Yarrowia lipolytica: one gene and its partner. The protein of the gene in region 1 purifies or fractionates together with the protein of each later gene. This does not show direct contact. Links are inferred from orthologs where the notes say so. Each region holds a gene or a part of one and is shown on either strand. Other genes may lie near its edges.

Region 1 (3,221 bases):
CATTTTCGGCCAAGTATCGTATCCAAAGACCTGAATCGTGACTGTACTTGTCCAGAATAACTGCACATCATTTGCCTCGGTTACATCATCGGTATATTGTCGGCGTAGGCCACAGCCAACATATCAGTATTCGTCTTATGCATGCTCATGGTGTTCAGACTTGGGAAACGGGACTCTGAAGTCTAGGAGATACAAGTGCTACTTGTACAAGTGCCAATATTTGTAGTAGTTCTCGTACTTGTCCAAGTTCTGAACAGCATGGCTTGCATTACAAGTAGTGGATACCCACTGATGTATCAGTTTCTTGTACAATAGTTTTTGTCTCATGCTGAATCATCAATTGTTCAAGCCATTGCTAGCCACTGAGGCTAGTTGAGAGTACCTGTATTGTACTACAGTCCACATCACCAAACAAATACTTTTATTGCACGTACTGTACAAACAAGTTTCCATGTCATCATCGTTACTATATACCCTTGTGCTATCACACCACCAAGCACTGTCCAGCCAATCAAACAATCGCTCTGCTTATTTGCCTCCAAAGAAACCAGCATACTTCTTCTTCTCCGCCTCCCGTCGTCTCTGCGCAGCCTGTTTGACCTCCTCAATCTTGTTCTTGATGGCCCCATCAGCGGGCTCGAGCTCCAGAGCAGCATTCAGATCCTTGAGAGCGTCGGTCTCGTTCTTGAGAGCGGCGTATCCAGATCCCCGTCGGAACAAAGCCTTGGCCTTCTCCTTGTTGGCCACAGTCTCGTCATCAAGAGCAGAAGTCGCGGCCTTGATGGCAACCTTGGGCTGGTTGACCTTAAGAGCCATGAGAGCCACGTTGAGGTAGCACGAGATTCGCAGAGCATGCACCTTGGCAATGTTCTCCTCGGACAAATCATCGGGAAGATAGTCCTCCAGGTAGGTGGTGGCCTTGAGGTACTTCTTGAGCGCTCCCTCGGCGTTTCCCTCCTTGAACAGCTTGGTTCCGATCGACTTGAGCTTCTCAATGGCTCCCAGCACAGAGGCAGGGTCGTTCACGTCCACATTGTCGTTATCCTTGAGGAAGTCCTCGTAGTCGTCTCCAGTGCCGTCGTCGACGTTTCCAACAGGCACCTGGAAGTCTGCGGGCAGCTCTCCGCAGTCCACAATGGTGACGGGCTGCTTGGGTCGGTCCTGCTCGCCTGTCTCAGTTCGCTCGATCTGTCGCACAATACCCTTGCCGCTGAGCAACTTGCCAAATACCACATGCTTGTTGTCGAGATGGGGGGTTTCGGTGGTGGTGATGAAGAACTGCGAGCCGTTGGTGTTGGGCCCGGCGTTGGCCATTGACAGCAAGAAGGGCTGATCATGGGGGTAAGGGAACGCCTCGTCAGGGAACTTCTCCCCGTAGATGGACTCTCCTCCGGTACCGTTGCCAGCGGTGAAGTCTCCTCCCTGCACCATAAAGTCCTTGATGACTCGGTGGAAAGACGAGCCCTTGAAATGCAGAGGGATTCCGGCCTGGGTGTTGCCCTTCTCGCCAGTGCACAGAGCTCGGAAGTTCTCGGCGGTCTTGGGCACCTTGTCGGCAAACAGCTCAAAGTAGATCTTGCCGATGGTCTTGCCGCCAATTGCGACCTCGAAAAACACTCGGGGGTTGGTCATTGTGTATGTGTGTGATGTGTAACGGGTTGGGTTGTGTTCGTGGGGGCGTTAGGCACGCCCGTACCTTTGGCCATATATGCATCTTTGGGAGGTTTGACGCATGTGCAGAAGGTAAGCTGTAGAAGGTTCGAGAATGAATCTCCCCCAGAATCGGGGTCAGCAGCTCTTTGTGTTGGTTCTGGGAGGCCCGGTTGCGACTGCTTGTGTGTCATTTCAGTCTCTACCCCTCCCTTTCATTTCCACCGTCTTTCCGGCTCCCTATCTCTGGGCTACATTTTTCACACTGCAGGCGTCAAGATCAGCGCCCAACCCAGCAAGTCAAATTGGATCAGGATCGAACTGTCTCAGTGGCTGAATGAGAAGCTGGAAGAAGGGTTGATGACGGCTAATTGTAACTTATGGAGCTATACAAGGCAAGATGACTGTACAGAGACAAAATTCCTCACTCCAGTACAAGTACTTGTACGGCCGGCGATTGTTGAGCAACTAATCATGCTAACAAGATCCCAACAAAACTACTAACTAAATTTGGAACTGATGAGATGAAAAGCTGAGATAACTTCAGCACAGGACACAAACTGCTATTATAACTGAAAAGTTGCTTAGAATGCATCAATTGAGGGTAAAATGGTACTGTTTTCTCAACGATTCCGACTCTGGAACATCGAAAAGAGACCCCCAGCCTGATTTTGATTGTAACTATATCCAACTAATTTTAAAATACAAGTCAAACGGTTTAGATGACTTCTAATGGTGGAAATTAGTTTTGACAAACTCTACTTGCTCAGCGCCATTGGCGATATCATTGTCAATCATTCACTATATACTAACTTAAAGCTTGGCGCCAACAGCCTTGTGGACCTTGAGGGCCTGTCGCATGGCCAGATCCAGCATAATCTCCTCGGATCCACCGGGGATGGCGTAGGCTCGGACCTCTCGGTACAGTCGCTCAACCTTACCTCCGAGACCGCCTCGGGTGTAGGAAAGACCACCAAAGATCTGGGAAGCCTCTCGGGCACACAGCTCGAGGGTCTGGGTGGCCTGGGCCTTGCAACCAGCAATGGCACCACCAAGTCGAAGCATGGCCTCCTCCTCGGGGAACATCTGGCACTGGAAGACCAGGTTCTCGAGCCAGGCGTGGGTGGACTCGATTCGAATGGCCATGTTGGCGAGCTTGGCTCGGATGACGGGGTGCTCAATCAGAGGCTTGCCGAAAGTCTTTCGCTTGTGGGCGTACTTGCAGGCCTCCTCGTAGCAAACTCGAGAAGCTCGGTTTGCCTGGATGATGATACCAACTCGCTCGTGGTTGAAGTTGGTCATGATGACCTTGAAACCCTTGTTCTCCTTGCCGAGCAGGTTCTCCACGGGGACCTTGACATCCTCCATGGTGACCCAGGTAGAGCCGGAAGACAGCATACCCTGAGTGTTCATTCGTCGGGTCTCAAGACCCTCCATGCCTCGCTCGAGCAGCAGAACAGAGATACCGTTCATGCCAGAGCCGGGGCCACCGGTTCGGACGGCAACAGTGAAGTAGTCAGCCCAGATACCGTTGGTGATCCACTTCTTGATACCGTTGACAATGTAGAACT
Region 2 (7,971 bases), on another chromosome or scaffold:
GGTGGGGTGCTCGACGGATCCATTGCCACCGTTGATGACGGGGACAGGAGAGAATCGGCCGGCGATGTTGGCAGACTCGGGGTCGGGGTGTCGCAGAGCGATGGCGTCCGAGTAGCAAGCAACAGATCGGAGAGTGTCCTGCAGGGTCTCGCCCTTCTTGTAGGAGGAGGCGTCGACGTTGACGGCAATGACACGGCCTCCAAGTCGCTGCATGGCGGCATCAAAGGAAGTGGCGGTTCGGGTGGAAGGCTCGTAGAAGAGGGTGGTCAGCAGACGACCCTTGAGGATGTCCAGAACACCGACTCGCTTGACAGCCTGTCGCAGCTCGTTGGCCAGAGCAAAAATGTCGTGCAGGTTCTCCTTGGAGAACTGGTTGACAGAGAGAATGTGCTGACCAAGGAAGGGGTTTCGTCGCAGCTTGTTGAGAATGGAAGGAGCGGAAACCTCGGGGGGGATGGCACCGACAACAGACGACTCAACGTGGTTGTTAGCGAAGGGTCGAACGTCGGAGGAGAATGAGAATCGGGCCATTCGGGGGGTGGTGGGGGAGTGCACCATCTCCTGGGTGGCAGGAGCAGCCTCAACGGGAGCAGCCTGGGGGTGGATGGAGATGGCCTTGCCGGTGGAAGCACCGTTGAGGTCACCCTCAAGGACAACAGTCTGTCCGCCGACAATGACTCGCTCAACGGAGCCAGTGGCAGGCTTGCCGGCCATGGGAGACCACAGACCCTTGGACTTGAAAGTGTACTTTCGGCCGAGGTTGACGACAATGGAGGTGTCGGGCTGCTCCACCAGCTCGAAGATTCGAACGGGGTTGGTGTAGAGCCGAGCCTCAATGTCCTCGACGGTGAGACGCTTGTCAGCCACGGCAGAGAGCAGCAGAGGCAGGGTCTCGGCAACACCAAGACCAGCGACAACGGGCTGGCCGAGCTCCTTGGCCATCTGAGAAGGCAGAATGCCGACGGAGAAGCAGTCGATGGTGGCAAGGTTGGCCCACAGAGCATCCTGGTCCTCCTGGGTGGGCAGAGAGTGGGCCTCGGGGTAGTCCTCTCGGGCAAAGAAGAGGGCAAAGACGGACACGTCACAGGTGACAGCCAGACCTCGCTCCTTGGCCATGGCAACCAGCACAATGTCGTTCTTGTCAACAACGCCGGTCACGTGGATGGGCCGGTTGTGCAGGGAAGCCAGCAGCAGAATGGAGGCCAGGTCGGTGGTGGTGGCGTCAGTGACAATGGGCTTGTTGGCGGGCCAGGCGCCAAAGTGCTCCGAGATGGCAGCCACCTTGGTGGTGTTGTCGCCCAGCTTGCTGAAGGGCAGCACCAGAGAACCAACCTTGCCGGTCACCTTACCAACCTCGTTGGCATTGTGAGCAGTGGCAGCCACAGAAAGGTTATAGTCTGTGAAGGAGTGGCCCTCGGCGTTAGCCTGAGCAGTCTGAAGCGAAGCCAGATCGATGATGGACTCGGACACGCCCATGGGGAGCAGTCGAGAGAAGGTGAAGCCAGATCGCAGAGACACCTTGGTGAAGTCGGCAATGTCGGAAGAGCCAGCAATGGCAATGTCGGGAACCACACCGGCCACGTTGACCAGACCAGGAAGAGTCACAGTGTTGTGAGACGACTGGAAGTCGGTGGCGGACACGTCCAGAGTCATGTTTCGAGCCAGAGCCTCGGTCAGCAACTTGGCGTTCTTGACGTTGGTCACCAGAGGAACGGCGTAGTCAACAGCCAGACGTCGAGTTCGGTAACCCTTGGACATGTAGTTGGCGGGTCGTCGGAACCGGTTGGAAGAGGGCAGGTTGATGTATAGGTCGATCATGTTGTTGGCCAGGTGCTGAGTCAGCGAGTACTCAGACTTCTCCTCGTCAGCACCCTCGTTGAGGACATCGAGGTACTGGACGGGAACGCCGTGCTCCTGGATGAAGTCGGCTGTACCGGCAGTGGCAAACAGCTTGAAGCCGAGCTCGTGGAGTCGCTTGATGGAGGGCATCAGCTCAACCTTCTCCTTGTAAGAACCAACGGACAGAAGAATGTTCTTCTTGGGCAGCTTGAAGCCAGTGGCAAGCAGAGCCTTGAGGTAGGCTTCGTACTTGTTCTTGCCAAAGGTAGCAACCTCACCAGTGGAGGCCATCTCGACACCGAGGATGGGGTCAGCTCCAGACAGTCGAGAGAAGGAGAACTGGGGTACCTTCACGGCGACAAAGTCCTGGGGGAGCTCCTCCAGGGGGTAAGGAGAGACTGGGAAACCGCAGATAGCCTTGGTGGCCATCTCAATGAGATCAACACCGGTCACCTTGGACACGAAGGGGAAAGATCGAGAGGCTCGCACGTTGCACTCAATGACCTTGATTTCGTTGTCCTTGGCAATGAACTGAATGTTGAAGGGACCAGTCACCTGCAGAGCCTTACCAATCTTGGCGGTGGCCACGACAATACGTCGGACAGTCTCGGGATCGAGATCCTGGGGAGGCACAATCAGAGTGGCATCTCCAGAGTGCACACCAGCGTTCTCAACGTGCTCGGAAACAACGTGCATGATGAGCTTACCGTCCTTGGCAACAGCGTCCATCTCAATCTCCTTGGCGTTCTCAATGTACTTGGTGATGACGACAGGGTAGTCTCGAGACACTTCGACAGCCTGGTTGAGGTAAGAGGCCAGATCGTCTCGGGTGTAGACGGTGTTCATGGCGGCACCAGAAAGCACGTAAGAAGGTCGCACAAGCACAGGGTAAGAGACCTTCTCGGCAAAGGCCTCGGCCTCGTCGATGGAGGTCAACTCCTTCCAGGCAGGCTGGTCAACCTCAATGGTGTCCAGCATTCGGGAGAACTTGTATCTGTTCTCGGCAGAGTCGATCATCTCAGGAGAAGTACCGAGAATGTTGACGTTCTGTCGGTACAGCTGCAGAGCAATGTTGTTGGAGGTCTGACCACCCATGGAGATGACGACACCGGAGGATCGCTCCAGCTCGTAAATGTCGAGGATTCGCTCCATGTTGATGACCTCAAAGTAGAGTCGGTCGGCCTCGTCGTAGTCGGTAGACACAGTCTCGGGGTTGTAGTTGACCATGATGGTTTTGGCGCCCTGTTCTCGAAGAGTTCGGACGGCTCGAACAGCACACCAGTCAAACTCGACGGAAGAGCCGATTCGGTAGACACCAGAACCAAGGACCATGGTGCCGTGATCGTCAAAGGTCAGATCGTGGGAGTCAGCGTTGTAGGTCATGTAAAGGTAGTTGGTGAAGGCGGGGAACTCAGCAGCAACGGTATCAATCTGCTTGACGAAAGGGGTGACACCAGCCTCGACTCGCTTGAGACGCACAGCCAGCTCGTTGGAGCCGGTGTACTTGGCAATCTGTCGATCGTCGAAACCCAGCTGCTTGGCCTCTCGCATGATGTTGACAGGCAGGTTGGAGTTGTTGTACTTGGTCAGGCCCTTGGCGAACTTGACCAGACCGTCCAGCTTGTTAAGGAACCACTTGTCGATGTTGGTGAGCTCCCAGATCTTGTCCACGGTGTAACCAGAGTGCAGAGCGTTGGCAATTGCGAACAGTCGCTGATCAGAAGGAGTCTGCAGCTCGGAGTCAATGTCGATCGACATGAGAGCCTCGGTCTCGTTGAAACCCAGGTTCTGGTAGTCAGTGGACCGGATGGCCTTCTGGATGGCCTCCTCAAAGGTTCGACCGATAGACATGACCTCTCCGACGGACTTCATGGCGGAAGACAGCAGAGTAGACACACGGGTGAACTTCTTGAGATCCCATCGAGGAATCTTGACAACAACATAATCCAGAGAGGGCTCGAAACAGGCACAGGTGACCTGGGTGACGGAGTTTCGAATCTCGTTCAGGGGAATGTTGAGACCAAGCTTGGCAGCGATGAATGCCAGGGGGTAGCCGGTGGCCTTGGAAGCCAGGGCAGAAGATCGAGACAGACGGGCGTTGACCTCAATGATGCAATACTCCTTGCTGAAGGGGTTGAGGGCGTACTGGATGTTACACTCACCAACCACACCGAGATGTCGGATGACGTTGACAGCGGTGGTTCGCAGCATGTTGTAGTCCTCATCAGACAGGGTCTGAGAGGGGGCCACGACGATGGAGTCACCAGTGTGGATACCGAGAGGGTCGAAGTTCTCCATGTTACACACAGTGATACAGTTGTCAAAGGCATCTCGAACAACCTCGTACTCAATCTCCTTCCAGCCCTTCATGGATCGCTCGACCAGGATCTGAGGTGAGCCGGCAAACGCCTTGTTACACAGCTCGATCAGCTCGGCTTCGTTGTCGGCAAAACCGGAACCTAGACCACCAAGAGCGTAGGCAGCTCGAACGATAACAGGGTAGCCAATCTCCTCAACGACAGCAAGAGCCTCTTCCTTGGAAGAAGCAGTGGCCGACTTGGCGCACTTCTCGCCAATCTCCTCCATGGATCGGGCAAACAGCTCTCGGTCCTCGGTGGTGATGACGGTGTCGATGGGGGTACCGAGCACCTTGACACCGAGACCCTCAAACTCGTCCTTCATCTCGATACCAACGTTGAGAGCGGTCTGGCCACCAAAGGTGACGTAGATGGCGTCGGGGCGCTCGTACTTGATCACCTTTCGCACAAACTCGGGGGTCACAGGCAGGAAGTACACCTTGTCGGCCAGACCCTTGGAGGTTTGGATGGTGGCAATGTTGGGGTTGATAAGCACGGTGTAGATGCCCTCCTCCTTGAGAGCCTTGATGGCCTGAGAACCGGAGTAGTCGAACTCACCAGCCTGGCCAATGGAGAGACCTCCAGAGCCCAAAACAAGCACCTTCTTGACCTGCACTCGGGGGTGAGCGGCTCGGTTCTCCTCAATGGTGCCACCGGGGAACTCGATGGCCTTGAGAACACCAGAGGTCTTGTGCTCGACGACAGCCTTGATGAAAACGTCAAACAGGAACTCGGTGTCTCGGGGACCGGGGGTGGACTCGGGGTGGAACTGCACCGAGAAGAAGGGCAGGTCCTTGTGATAGATACCCTCGTTGGAGCCGTCGTTGGAGTTGACAAAAAGCTCCTCCCAGCCGCCAGTCAGAGACTTGGCGTCCACAGCGTAACCGTGGTTCTGCGAGGTGATGTAGCATCGACCAGACAGCAAGTTGGTGCAGGGAATGTTGTGTCCTCGGTTACCGAACTTCATCTTGAGAGTGGTGGCGCCGGTAGATCGAGAAAGCAGCTGGTGACCAAGACAGATACCAAAGATGGGGGTCTTCTTGGCCTCGACGGCCTTGGCGATTCGAGCGGCGGTTTCCTTGAGCACGGAGGGATCTCCGGGACCGTTGGAGAGGAAGAGACCGTCGTACTCCTCGTTGAGGAAGTCGTAGTTGTAAGGGACGACCAGAAGCTCGACGCCTCGGTTGACAAAGCATCGGATCTGGTTGTACTTCATACCAACGTCGACAGCCAGGATTCGAACAGGCTTGCCGTTGACGTGAATAGCTCGGTCAGCAGGAGGGGTGTAGAGCTTGGGCTCCTTGATGGAAACCTCGGCGACCAGGTTGAGCTTGTTAGGGTCGACCCACTCAGGGACCGCGTTGTCAATGCACAGTCGTCCGAGCATGGAACCCTCCTCTCGGATGTGCTTGGTCATTCGTCGGGTGTCGACGCCGTAGATGGCAGGAATGTCCTGCTCCTTGAGCCAGGCACCGAGAGAAGATTCGGCCAGGAAGTGCGAGTACTCCTCGGTGTACGAGGCAACAACAAGACCCGCCACATGGATCTTGTTGCTCTCAAAGTGCTTGGGGAGGCCCTTGACCACTTCGTCCACGGCCTCTCGAGAGGGGACACCGTAGTTGCCGACCAGGGGGAAGGTGACAATCAGAATCTGACCCTGGTAGGAGGGATCGGTGATGGACTCGGGATAGCCCACCATACCGGTTTGGAACACGAGCTCGCCCGCCACAGGCTTGTCGGCTCCGAAAGAGTAACCCTGAACGGCAGTGCCGTCTTGAAGCTCCAGGGTCATGAGCTTGTCCTCGGGGTTGAGGGGGGGGAAGATGGGAAGCGAGGGGGTCATTCTGGGTTAGTATGATCGAACGGAGTGTGATCGTGTGCTACGGTGACGTCTAGAGAGCACAGGAACTGACTGTATCTTCAACATCGATCGATCGCGGCGTCATGCAGAAGCCGTGGTTTTGGTGGATCGGGCAGAGTCGCAGCGTTTTTGTCGTCTCTCAAAAATACCAATACTAACTACTGAGGATGAGAATGGGTAGCAAAAGACATTCGGTGTGTTGAGGGTGTGTGTGTGGTGTAGTTGTAGAGTGTGAAGTGCAAGCTCAGACCATCAGTAGGGTTGCAGAGAAGCAGCAGCAGCACTACGCTACCAACAGCACCATTGACGTTACTCCAGCATCCCCACAACCACCACAGATCACATGTATCTGCAATGGTCGATGGCAGGACAGCAGCTCACCCGTCGGTCAGTAGCAGCAGCTCAGCTCTTCAGCAGCCGTTCAGCATTCAGCAGCCGTTCAGCACTTCAGTAGCTGCAACATGGCAGTAAACTGCATACGTGGGACTACAAGACTGACGACATGTAGGGCACTGCACATCTAAATAATGCACCCCACAGGACCCCAGCCATTACCACCACCCCACACACTGGGCCCCAGACTCAGACAAGCGTCCGTCCACGGTTGTTTCCTTCCATCCGTCTCAATCTCTCAATCGTCTTCACTCACTCACTTTTACTCCTTTGCTACACCTGCCGAATAGGACAAAAGATTTCGTGAGGAAGAGAGAGAGAGAGAGGAGAGGAGAGAGAAGGAGACACATGGGTGTTCCTCGCCTATATAAATATCGAGGCCAATGAAAAAATTTATAACCTCAAGGTTTGGGTGCATAAAGAGGACTTTGGGACCTTACCCTGGGGGGAGTTGGGGGTGGAAATAGTGTGATGAGGAGCCTGGAATTTTGACAGATGGTCTATAAGAGTGTCAATTATCTGTCATCTTTTTTTCCGCGCGATTCGGCCACTATTGGGTCCTCCAGATTCCTTTCGAATGTCGCCACTTCTCCACCTAACGAACCTTGTCAGAAGCCGAAGGCCGAACAGCACGGTTAAAAGCCCCATTTCCAGAGCAAAAAGCGACCGTTTCTGCCCGGAAATCGGACTCACGTGACCCATTCTGTACAATTGACGCCCAATCTCCTGGAAAAACGGCGTATATCCGCGAGAAATACCGACCTATTCTCGGTGGCAACTGTCGCTATACTGTCAGTCAGGGAAAAAAAGGCCGATTGAAATAAAAAGAACCTTAACGCTAAAAACAAAAAAAAATTGGAAACAGTCCGAGTCATAATTGGACCCTGAGAAAGACATGAGTGGGTGGGCAAGGGGTCTTAAAGGGCTCCTTGGGGGCCGATTTCGGAAACGAAAAATGCACGATCCCATTTCTTCGGGCTACATGACCACTTTTCGAGCGTCTTATCTCGTTTCCACCCTCCCCACAACCCACATTAGCCACCAGTAGCACCTCCCAACCTCGTCTCCATGGCACATTTCGAACCCAAATCAATTTTTTTTCCACACGATGCATGAACGAGGTACGCGGCTGGTGATTGAGATGGCAGCGGCGGAAAACGGTGCAAAAAAAAACCGTGTGTGTAAAAAGAAACGAGACGTTGAAAGGTGCAATTGATGAGGCGAACACCCACTTGGCTGTTTTGTCGGTCGTTACGGTAGTTGCGTGGACCATCCACGTCGTGATGTTGGTCTGGGTTGTCCATCATCGCCCATTACTCGGCCATCCAAGTGTCTTAACAAAATATGTGCAGTGACTGTGAAGGCGCTTCTTGTCTGAATGCGGTCACACGACGGATCGCATCGCACAGTTGCTGAAAAAGATAAGCTCAGGTGGGTCTCATGGAGAGTGTGGGGGTTTTGGGCCCAATAGTGGTCCGATTTTGGATCTGAAACGTGCATTTTGTTCGTCGCATCGATACC

Evidence for each region.
Region 2: the proteins of YALI1_C23926g (region 1) and YALI1_E11768g purify together in Saccharomyces cerevisiae (affinity purification with mass spectrometry; 5 studies listed by BioGRID, with this or other methods). This does not show direct contact. The link is inferred for Yarrowia lipolytica from reciprocal best matches to the Saccharomyces cerevisiae genes CPR6 and URA2.

The regions. Positions count from the first base shown.
Region 1 is NC_090772.1:2,390,982-2,394,202, forward strand, and holds YALI1_C23926g (uncharacterized protein), read right to left. Parts: upstream 1,633-3,221; coding exon 529-1,632; downstream 1-528. Other genes in the region: YALI1_C23948g (uncharacterized protein), read right to left, coding at 2,464-3,221. UniProt on the Saccharomyces cerevisiae protein: PPIases accelerate the folding of proteins. It catalyzes the cis-trans isomerization of proline imidic peptide bonds in oligopeptides.
Region 2 is NC_090774.1:1,170,756-1,178,726, forward strand, and holds the start of YALI1_E11768g (uncharacterized protein), read right to left. Parts: upstream 6,040-7,971; coding exon 1-6,039. Other genes in the region: YALI1_E11770g (uncharacterized protein), read left to right, coding at 6,225-6,251, 6,295-6,528. UniProt on the Saccharomyces cerevisiae protein: Multifunctional protein that encodes the first 2 enzymatic activities of the de novo pyrimidine pathway: carbamoylphosphate synthetase (CPSase; EC 6.3.5.5) and aspartate transcarbamylase (ATCase; EC 2.1.3.2).